2 linked regions of the Caenorhabditis elegans genome follow. The protein of the gene in region 2 purifies or fractionates together with the protein of the main gene of each other region. This does not show direct contact. Each region holds a gene or a part of one and is shown on either strand. Other genes may lie near its edges.

Region 1 (4,492 bases), 5.4 Mb from region 2:
TTTGAACATTCCCTCCCATCACAAACACATCATTTTATTTTCACCAGCTGTCAATTCCACGCAAATTTGTGATTTAAAAGTGTTGTTTAACAGTCTTATCAGAAAAGAAAATCTGGACAATAAACAAGTCTCTTCGGAAAAGGAATCAGCTGACCGAAACACATGTAATTTGACACAGTTATCATAGAATAAAATGAATGAAAAGTCAAGTATGAGAAAAATGGAAATGACCATGAAATTTTTTGCGACAAGTGCGTACGATTCTTGCGTGCGTCACTTGATTGGCTATGAACATCTATGAATCAGCTCTCCTAAAATAAATAGCAATTGCAAGAAAAACGTCAATAGAAATCCGTTTCTAAAAGTAGGTATGACGCGTTCGCATTAACTTTTAAATTGGGAAATGTGATTCAGATATGAAGCTTGGGAGGGGGGGGTGCCCGCATTATAAAAGAAACGAAATATTCAGGAAACAATTTTTCGGTGTTTTGCAGATTTTCTAAATTTTCAGAAATTTCCAAAAAATTTTGGCACTGAAATTGTCATGTAGAAATTGAATTGAAAAAAACGCAAAAAAAAAACTAAAGCTTCTCGTTGGATGTGACTGACCTTTTATATGCAAAATCCTAAAGACCTTCTCTTCTCGTTTTTAAAAAAATATTTGCTCAAGTTTTAAGACCAAATTAGTGAGTATTTTGTGTACAGTTTACGGAAGCGCTTATCGGTAGGTCAACAAAGCAGATGGAATTGGAATACCTTTAAAAATAGAACACTTACCACAAAAACTGAGATTTGTCAATGCGGAAAACAAGAAATGATGGTTATAAGTTGTCGATTATCGAGTTTGAGGTGTACTGATAACCAATTTTTCGCTGAACGGGGCTCGATTGACAGCTCTTATCAGGGAGGGTGTGATCGCTTGACCGGGGTCACATTTTTCGGCATGGGATGATGTTTTTTATTGATAATTTGGAGAATTTTAGCATGGAAAATTATGTAAGCAAAAGCTTTTATTAGATTTTATTGGTCGTAAAATTGGAGAAAAATGTTGAAATCGATGATGGAGAATGCTCATATTAAAATTTCAAAAAAAAAACGATTGTATTCCTTTTTTCAAACTTTCGAAAATTTTAGCGAAGTTATATTATAATTCGTGCTCCCATCTCATTGCAACCACCTAAAAAAATGTAGCAAAAATTTAAGAGTTTTTTTTTGAAAAATTAACATTTCTTAGAAACATCTGGAGAAAAAAATTCAAAATTTTTAGATCTTCGGTAGCTCCAATTTTTTTTATTAGAAATTTTTTGCAGAATTTGGAAATTAAGAAGTTTGGAAACATGGATGCAAAAGTTTTTGTTTCAAACTTTATTATTAGAACAATTACTGTGAAGAATATTTATATTTACAGATAAATATCGAAAAACACACATGGATACTGAAAGACAAGGCAGATAGCATTATAATAAAGCAGTGACAAATGTTCGATTCCAAAACTCTTTAAGAGTCTCCCTTAATATTTGGATGTCCTTCAAGATGCTCACGGAAGCAGTATCGGATTCTATCAAATTGTCCAATGCAGAGAGCATATTTCAAGTAATCAGTAGGTACTCCTTTGGTAGTTTCACAGTAAGCCATACATCCTGGAATAACGCCTTGACGCTGGCAGCAAGCAGTATGGTCAGCACGAGAAGATGCACAATCCCACATTTGACCGACTGTTGGACCCTTTGGAGAGCATTCACCGAGGAAGCCAAGAACCTGGAAGTTAGGCAGGCATGTGTAAGATAATTTTTTTTTGATAATTGTTACCTGGTCTGGTCTGAAAGCATCAAAATCGCAATATTTTCTTCTACAATCCACATCGGCGTCCTTCAAAGATCTACAGCACACTCTCAATTTTTGATTGGCATTACGTCTTCCAGGAACTCCATAGCTAAAAATTCCCATTTCAAGTTTTTAAACAAAATTATAATTGCTTACATTAATTGGATACGATCCTGAACGGCATTTGTGACTCCGTGTTGAGCTGGTCCAGCGACAGCCTGTGTCTGTGGCTGTGCTCCAAATCCAGCTGGAGCTCCCCATTGATGTTGTGGCCATGCTGGTGCAGCTGGTTGTTGCCATTGGTTGAATGGATTCCATTGCCAACCTTGACCAGAAACACATACGATTAGGAGACTGCCAAGGATTAGGTAGTTCATGCTGGAAATTAGGGGAAGATATTTTGAAGCTAAGGTGGCATTTGTGAAAGCAAAATAAAAACAAAAATTTGAAGGGATTTAATTAGAGAAATCATATTCTATTGCTCAAATTTGGCAGCTTTTGCTGCCAAGTTTGGAATTTTTTTTTCAAATTTCTCAAGGTTAAATTTCTAGATATTTTTTGGATCTTATAAAAATTCCAAATACCCAAGCTTACGCCAGATAGTAAAAACTAGGTAGGCACGTGGATAGGCTCTCGAGAGGCAGGTAGGCATTAAATCGTATCTGAATTGAACACGAAATCTTCAGATCCGTCTTGAAAGCTAAGCTCTACTGCACCTAATTTATAAAAGCTCTGAAACGTTCTATGGCAAGGTTTCTAGGTTTTACCCACTTTCTGAAAAAGAAACAAAACTTTTCATTGTCATCCGGATTAACTAAATCTAGGTAATCTCAAAATGTACATGTGTTTTGTTCGACCACAAGTATGACATAATTATTACAATGTTAAAATCAGCTTGAACATACACTTTTGTGTTTTCTTAAGAACTTTGTGCCAAAAAAATTATCAGAAAATATAAGCTTCGATCAGCTTAAAATGGTCAAAATTGAGACCAAAAATCTGATTTTAAACCAAATTTATACAGCATTTTGTTACAGTGTAAACAAAAAAGTGTAAGCCGAATTAGTCATCAGACGGGGAATTGAAACTGTAATAGAAGTGATGTCAAAAGTAATCTCAATGTCAGTCAAAGACTGAAGAAACTGACATAAAACACAGACAACTATAGGTTTCAGAATGAAAAAGAATACTACCGATAGGAGGGGATTGTTCAAGTTTCACTGAAGATTATAGTATAGAACAAAACGAAGAAGAGAAGCTGTGACAGAAAGGTTTATTGAGAAATGATGGGTGGAGGTAGTTGCAATTGAATGTAGTCTAGATCTCAAGTTCGGGTGATCAAAATTACAGTGTGAAGCTATTTCCCAATTTTCACAATGGTTTAACTGTTTTCAATCGAAAAAAGTCGTAAAATTAAATTTGAAAAAAAAATCAGATAGGTCACACAGAATTTCAACCACCAACAAAATAAACATTCAGATTCAGAACTACACCTAGATAACGTCATCAAACTATATATCATTCCTCACAAGCAATGTCATTTTGTTGCAATTGTGAGGAAAAGAAAAATGATTGTGTGATAATAAGAGATGTATATATTGATAAGAGAAGCCAGATAATGGCAAGTGTTTCTCTTGTTAGCTGACCATCAAAATGTCCCACACCGAAAACCGGTTCAATTGCCTAATCGCTTTTCTTTTTTTTTCTTATCCATCACCATTTTCGCTTCGAATTATTCTCTTGTTGTTCTTCAATTTTTTTCTTACCGTCGTCAATTCTGACGTATAACAATTCAATTGAAAACGAAGACAGTTGAAATTCAACAAAACAGAAGGAAGTTTATAATTTATTAGAATTCAAGAATGTATGTTCACTGACGAATTGCTTTGTGATGTTTAAGATGGGTACGGAAACATAGACGGTACTTGTCAAATTCAGATGTACAAAATCCATATTTAAGAACATCGGTTGGAACGGATTTTGACGCGTTGCAGAACGCACGACACAGTGGGAGAACATTCTGAAATTGGGGAAACATTTTAAGAAGTTGGAAGCATATTGGAAATTTTTGGAAAATTTCTGCGGCAATTAATACAGAAAAAAATATATGTATACGAGTATCTGGCTAACTTATTTTTCCTGTGATCAGCTTAAAAGTTTTATAAAAACATTGATTACAACAAATGATTGTAAAAATTAACTATTCTGAACTATTCATCCTTTTTTACAAAAATTCCTGCTTGCCTGCCTTTAATGCATTCTGCACCTGTTTGTGAGCCTTCAAAAAACCTACATCTGCCTTGTACCTACGGCCATGTTATTTGACGGCTTATATCTCGACTGTCTTAAGTTTTATCAAAGAATGTTTCACTTTCAAAATGTAGAAAAAATATTTCGGACAAATTTTGTCAGTTGACAATTTTTGATAACACCAAAAAAATCGAGATATAAGCTGTCAAAGAAGAGTAAGGTGGGTGCAATTCTAATAAGTAAAACTTTTAGAAAATTTCAGAAAAAAAGAAAGTTCTCAACGGTATAAATAAAGTCCTATATTTTTTACACCAAAATGTATTGAAACAAATATTTACCTGATTGGTACAACATGCACTATGATCATGCTTCGAACTTATACAATCCCAAATTCTAGACACAGTTTTTCCTTTTGGGC
Region 2 (6,368 bases):
GTAAACTTTAAATTTTTCTGTACGTGAATAAACAAAGATTTTAAATTTAGTGTATCTTACAAAAAGCCTGATTACTCTCGTAGAGACCTAGAACCCAAAAAAGATCTTTACAAAAGTATAAATCTACAGTAGTGTTCAAAATTGATCCAACAATAAAAATGCGATATTATCGTAGCAAACGACAAAAGCCATATAAAATGTCTGTGCCATAAATATCACTAGAAATCATTGTCACTGGAACCTTCATAAAATATGTCCTTTCTCTATACCGTACACCTCCTCGTAAAGCGTGTCCTCCTACGTGTCTCCGCGTCTCCTCGATTCGTCCGATCTCTTCGCCAATTTTCGCAACAAATTGGGAATTGGCGATCAAATCTTGAGTGCGGAAGGCGCCCATCTTCGCACGAACACGCCATAAATCTGAACGTGTGTCCCTTTGATACAGGCCGACTCGGCGCGCGCGGCGCTCATAAATTTGAGCGATACACTAACGTTTTTATAGACACCGACACCTTATGCAGACACCATATCCCGACTGACTTGATGAACTGACTAACGACCTCGAATTTGTTGCAAAAAAATTAAATGTTCCTGGGGAGCTTGTAAGTAAAGATTTTGGAATGTTAGGTTTCTGTTGTCTATAGAAATTGCCCTACGTCCAAAATTCAATTTCTCATTAGCAAAAACTATATTTTCCCATGATTATAACTTCCGGAATCTTCTGATCTACATCCTCAATTTCAGTCAATCTCGGAAAACACCCAAGTGCGAACCGCTTGGATCAGGTGAAAGGATCACCGGCTCAGCAGGGGGTATGATGGGAATCTGGGCTCAATATCCGGCTACCAAAGTGACAGATCCTGGGTATTTTACGAAAAATGAAGAAAACATATTGGTGTTGAAAAGACGTTTTCCAGAAAAAAAACATCCCAAAAGGGAACTTTATGTTTCTGAAAAGTTATTGTTATTGTAGTTATTTCATCTAGAAAAAAATCTTCAAATTCAAGCTTTTAGTTCACATTTTCTCATAATCACCACCAAAGTGGGAGCCGCATAAATTGATGAGCAAGGAAAAGATCACCGGCTCAGCAGGTGGTATGATGGGAATCTCCACTAAATATACGGTTACCAAAGTCACAAATTCTGGAAAGTTTCGAGAAAGGAAGTAATTTTTATAGGAACATGTAGAAAATTCAAGAACTTCTGAAAAAATCAATGTTTTCATAAAATTCTCAATTTCCTAATTCCTCTCATACATTACTCTCGAATAGGAATGTTTTATTTTATTTAAATCAGACATGGACTTTAAATATCTTTTGAGGTATCCCACGGCAAACATACAGAAATTACATATTCATATTAATATTGTTTTAAAAAAATTGTCAGACAAACTTTTAGACCTGTAAGAAAAAATATGTAGAACTTAAAACAATTCAACAAATAACTTTCTGAATACAAGAATCACGAAGACATTGAAGTGCAGCATCGGAGAATTTTGGACGACCTGAATAGTCGGCATATGAGATCCATTCGAGCTCTGGACAGAATTGTGCCAGTGTATAGATGGACTTGTCAGTGCAGGCGGTGCCACGGATTCGGACTTCACGGAGAGGGCAACGTCTGGAATGTTTTTAGGTTAACCTTGAAGTATTCAAAAAAAATTTTGAAGGCTTACTTTGCCAAAACCGCCAGTCCTTTATCGCTGACCATTCTGCATCCATTAATATTCAAACATCTTAATTGTCGGCAATTTCCACCCAAAAGACATAAAAATCGATCATCAACGCTGGACATATGTGAAGTTTCAAGATCAGTGAGATTACGAGCTCCACGAGCAATTGCAAAAAGAACTCGATATGTCATTCTCATTCGACAAATCTTCAAACATTTCAACTTTGAAGCATTCGATTTTGAGCCACCGGCAAAATATTTTTGGAGAATATTGGTATTGAGATGATTGATTTCAAGAGAAAGGTGAGTTAGATTTGGAAGGTATTCTGTGACAAGTTTCAGAGGTTCATCGAAAAGACGTGGAACTGATATTTGAAGCTTGGTGATTTTATGTCCAAGAAGTGGGATAATGGCACAGAGAAGGTGATTTGCATTGTCAACGGCTTGCTGGAAATACATTTTTCTTGTAAAGCATAAACTTGTATTTAAACTTACAATATTAGCTTCTCTAACTGATACAATTAAATTGATACTGTTCAAAAACGGTTGATCCATTAAAGTGGAGAGCAACTGCTGTGAGTCTTCATCTCCAGACACTGATAATCGAATCGATTGAACTGTTGGTGGAAGCTGTGGCATTAATGAAAAGTAATTCCCGTACAAATCCAATGTTTTCAAATTCCCTCCATCGATCACAAACTGAACATTGTTTTCAACATCCTCAAGGTTCTAAGGAAAAAAAGAGTTCATAATAAAAAAGCATATGTCTAGTACCTCGTGGAAAAATCGAGCCAAGGACAGCTGTGAAAGGTTTGGGCATTGGGAGGACAAGTAGTGAAGAGCAGCAGCTGGATCAGCCAAGGATGTTGGGAAGTCGAGCTCGAGAACCTAAAATAATAAGGAAGTAAGTTATATGATATATAGGAAGGATCACCAACATGAAGCCGATCTCCAACATAGTGAGCAATGTCATACAATACTTGATCGTCGAGGGAGCGGCAGTGGTTTAAGTATAAACATCCGATCGTCGGGTTTTTGATGAGAAGAGTTCGAATTCCTTGGCTCGTAATCTGAAATTACAGTAAAATTTGAAAATGGCAGGTGAAATATTTATTTCTTTCTACAAATTTGAGCACAGATATTTATCTATTTTAAAATTGCAGAGAAAGTTTACAGAATACCATTCTTCTCACCGTTGTGTCAACATTTCAAATTATAAATTTTTGTTAAAAAAATATTTGTTTATATAATTTTTTAAAATTAAAACATAATTTCATTTTTAATCAAAAGTTTTGAGAAGTTGCCCAAAAACTTACTCGAAGTATCCATGTGATGACATTTTGCAACATAAAAAAAACTCTGGTGACAGTAATATTATTTTTTGAAAGTATAATACTTTCTATGTATTTCTATACACATTTCGGATTAAAAACTTCAAAAAAAAAAACAACGAGAAAAGTTGAATTTTGTAAGTTGTCTGTGTATGCCGCACATCTCCGATACAAGCTCGGCAAACATAGTCACCTTTCTGGCGCATTCTCAAAGTTCGAGAGATCTTTTCTAGAAAAGTCTCGAAATCAGGCCTCTCACCTTTCCACATCCAGATAAATCAACCGAGTACAAAAATGGACTGTACACATTCTCCAAACACTGATCTGTCAATTGGTGCATTGCCCTCAATTCCAACTGTCTCAGCAGAATTTGTCCTGTGGTGACCGCCTGTGCTCCGAGGTTAGTGACGTTTGGACAATCGACCAGCGTGATTTTCTCCACATATTTATTGTTGGTGGTCAGTTGATTGAGCATCTCGTCCGTAAGCTCAGCTGACAAATAAAATGTTAGAGATGGGATATTGCAGCCAAAGTATTTGGAGCACACGAGTGTCGAGCAATCTGATGCCGAAAGCTGGAAATTGGATGTTCTAACTGTTGGTCTGATAGTTTGCCGACTCACCTGGTCATGACTACAGAAAAATTCTAATAATTTCTGACGACACTCAACTGGGATGAAGCTCAGCTCACTGTTCAGCTCATGTTGGCACACAGCCGAAAGACACAGATTCAGAAGGGACTTTACCATGGTATAGTTATTGTAGATACATTTTTGGTACCCTGTATATGTTGTGAAGATCTGCAACAATAAAAATCAAGGGTTGAAGTTCAAAGGTTCAAATGAAAAAGCATCTGGATATAAGAGAAAATTCATAGAAATTGTTCACCACATTCCACATGTTATTCTCTTTTTTTCTGAGAGAAATTTTATGAAATATCTATTTTGGTCTTCGGAAAGCAAAACATTGAGGTTTTCTGCAATTGAAGGTGAAGTGTTTGGGTAAATAAACAACCGAATTAATGGAAAAAACACAATTCGAGACAAACGAAAACATTGTAGGCACACAACTTATCGCCTGCATTTTAGGCGACCTACACCTTCGGCCTTAAAGTTTTAACCTCTACACGAAAGAGCTAAATCCTTGAACAAGTAAATTGTGGCAAATACTCATTGACTCCAAAATCATTGACTACCTATTCTCATTGCCTACCCTTGCTCATTGTCTACTCATTTTCTTCATCAGTCAAGAGGCACGTACAAGGACCGTATTCCAAGAATACACCAAAGGTACATCTACTCAATTTGTTCATTCATTCAAAGGGTATACATATTTACAATCTTTCAATATGTACACAACATTTCGGGCAACAATTAGTAGTAGCTGAGTCATGTTTTAATTTATATTAATTTTGATAGGACACGAAAAGGCTGGGCAACATTCATTATTCATCAACATTAATAGCAACAATGGCAACAAAAAACAACAATTAAAAATTTGAAAAAAAAAGTGACAAAGAACGTAAAATCAATAACAATGAAATTTGGCATAAGAAATTCATTCGGAGTCATCAACTCCAGTGCAACCTTGTCTGACATGTCTGATACTACGGCGTCATGTTCCTATATACTCAAAAGCAGAAAACGAGTGATTGACTTCGACTCCGAATGAATTTCTTATGCCAAATTTCATTGTTATTGATTTTACGTTCTTTGTCACTTTTTTTTCAAATTTTTAATTGTTGTTTTTTGTTGCCATTGTTGCTATTAATGTTGATGAATAATGAATGTTGCCCAGCTTTTTCGTGTCCTATCAAAATTAATATAAATTAAAACATGACTCAGCTACTACTAATTGTTGCCCGAAATGTTGTGTACATATTGAAAGATTGTAAATATGTATACCCTTTGAATGAATGAACAAATTGAGTAGATGTACCTTTGATGTATTCTTGGAAAACGGTCCTTGTACGTGCCTCTTGACTGATGAAGAAAATGAGTAGACAATGAGCAAAGGATAGGCAATGAGAACAGGAAGGCAAAGAGCAAGGGTAGTCAATGAGCAAGGGTAGGCAATGAGAACAGGTAGTCAATGATTTTGGAGTCAATGAGTATTTGCCGTAAATTTTAAAGTTTTTAAAAATTAAGGCTTGTAAAAAAATTTTCAAAATATTTCAGTAGTTTCACTATGACTATGGTTACTTCACCACTAAAAATCGGTGTTTGCCAATCTCCCCTCTGCATCTACTCAACATTTCAAAATGAATCTAAAAAATTAAGAATATTAATAAAAAGCTATAAAGTTTATAAAGCTAAACTGAAGTGTAAAATTTTAAAATTTCGCTTTTGGTATTTGATAATTTTCAGCCCATTGTGCCAAATTTGAAATAATTTATTTTCAGCTTTTGAAACGACCAAATAAAGCGATGATAGATTTTTTAGAAGCAAAAAAATTTTTGAAGATAAAATTTCAGATTCCGCTTTACTGTAAAAATGGAAGAAAATAGGAAAATAACAAAAGGAAGGGAAAACAAACTTTGAAGCCGCAAAAAAGTTGGGAATTGGGCGGAAGATGAGAGAGATCCCGTCGGGAAGAGAGATTCAAGAAAGATCAGAGAGAGAGATGACATAGAGAATCTGAGAGAGCCCGAGAGCTCTCAGCAGATGCACACGGGATCGCAGAGAGAGTATGTGTTGGAGAGGATGACAAGAAGCAAAGGGCATGACGATGTTTTGAAGTATGTGACGGGAGCAGCCGAGAGTTTTCAATGGGTGAAATGGTGATGCCTCGAGCAAAGGTTACAGAGGGAAGTTCACTGCAGAAGATGATTCGAGGATTTTAGACTACACGCCACGTCATCACGAGTTTTGACATATAGAAAGCACCACTGGCTAGGGTTATTTGGGCTCTCATTGGGACAATTGAACAGTCTTCAAAGTTCAGCACCAGTCTACAAAAATTTACACATACTCCAGCAAATGCACTAATTTGAAAAAAAAAGTTGGGAACTGATCTTAAAATTATGATTCAATAAAAATTTGGGAAATGAATAGCAAACGCCACGGTATTTGAGGTAGAGTAGCATCAGTAGTGAGAATGTTGAAAACTGCTTCTGTGGTAATAAAATGATCTTTAAATATTTTGCCTGCTTGGGAACATTAGAGGAAGGGGCCAGATTTTTTTTCAGACTGTTGCAACTTATTTGCCAAAAATTTTCCGTTTTGTTTTCCAAACTACTCAGTTACTTTTCATTCCTCTTCCTTTAAAACTTTATGTCTACTCAGTGAGTGCATATTTCTTAAAGAATATTTAAATAATTCCACTTCTCTCAACTTTTGGAATTCCAGAAATGTTCAGTGCTAATCTG

What was found. Proteins that work in one complex are often made in the same cells at the same time.
Region 1: the proteins of T01E8.1 (region 2) and dbd-3 fractionate together in Caenorhabditis elegans (co-fractionation; one large-scale study listed by BioGRID). This does not show direct contact.

Annotation. Positions count from the first base shown.
Region 1 is NC_003280.10:4,769,181-4,773,672, forward strand, and holds dbd-3 (DB domain-containing protein), read right to left. Parts: upstream 2,203-4,492; 5' UTR 2,202-2,202; coding exon 1,981-2,201; intron 1,934-1,980; coding exon 1,810-1,933; intron 1,759-1,809; coding exon 1,498-1,758; 3' UTR 1,353-1,497; downstream 1-1,352. Other genes in the region: dbd-4 (DB domain-containing protein), read right to left, coding at 3,695-3,844, 4,413-4,492.
Region 2 is NC_003280.10:10,204,158-10,210,525, reverse strand, and holds T01E8.1 (F-box domain-containing protein), read right to left. Parts: upstream 3,802-6,368; 5' UTR 3,751-3,801; coding exon 3,625-3,750; intron 3,577-3,624; coding exon 3,262-3,576; intron 2,996-3,261; exon of another isoform or gene 2,975-2,995; intron 2,742-2,974; coding exon 2,610-2,741; intron 2,560-2,609; coding exon 2,446-2,559; intron 2,401-2,445; coding exon 2,167-2,400; intron 2,119-2,166; coding exon 1,676-2,118; intron 1,621-1,675; coding exon 1,434-1,620; 3' UTR 1,265-1,433; downstream 1-1,264.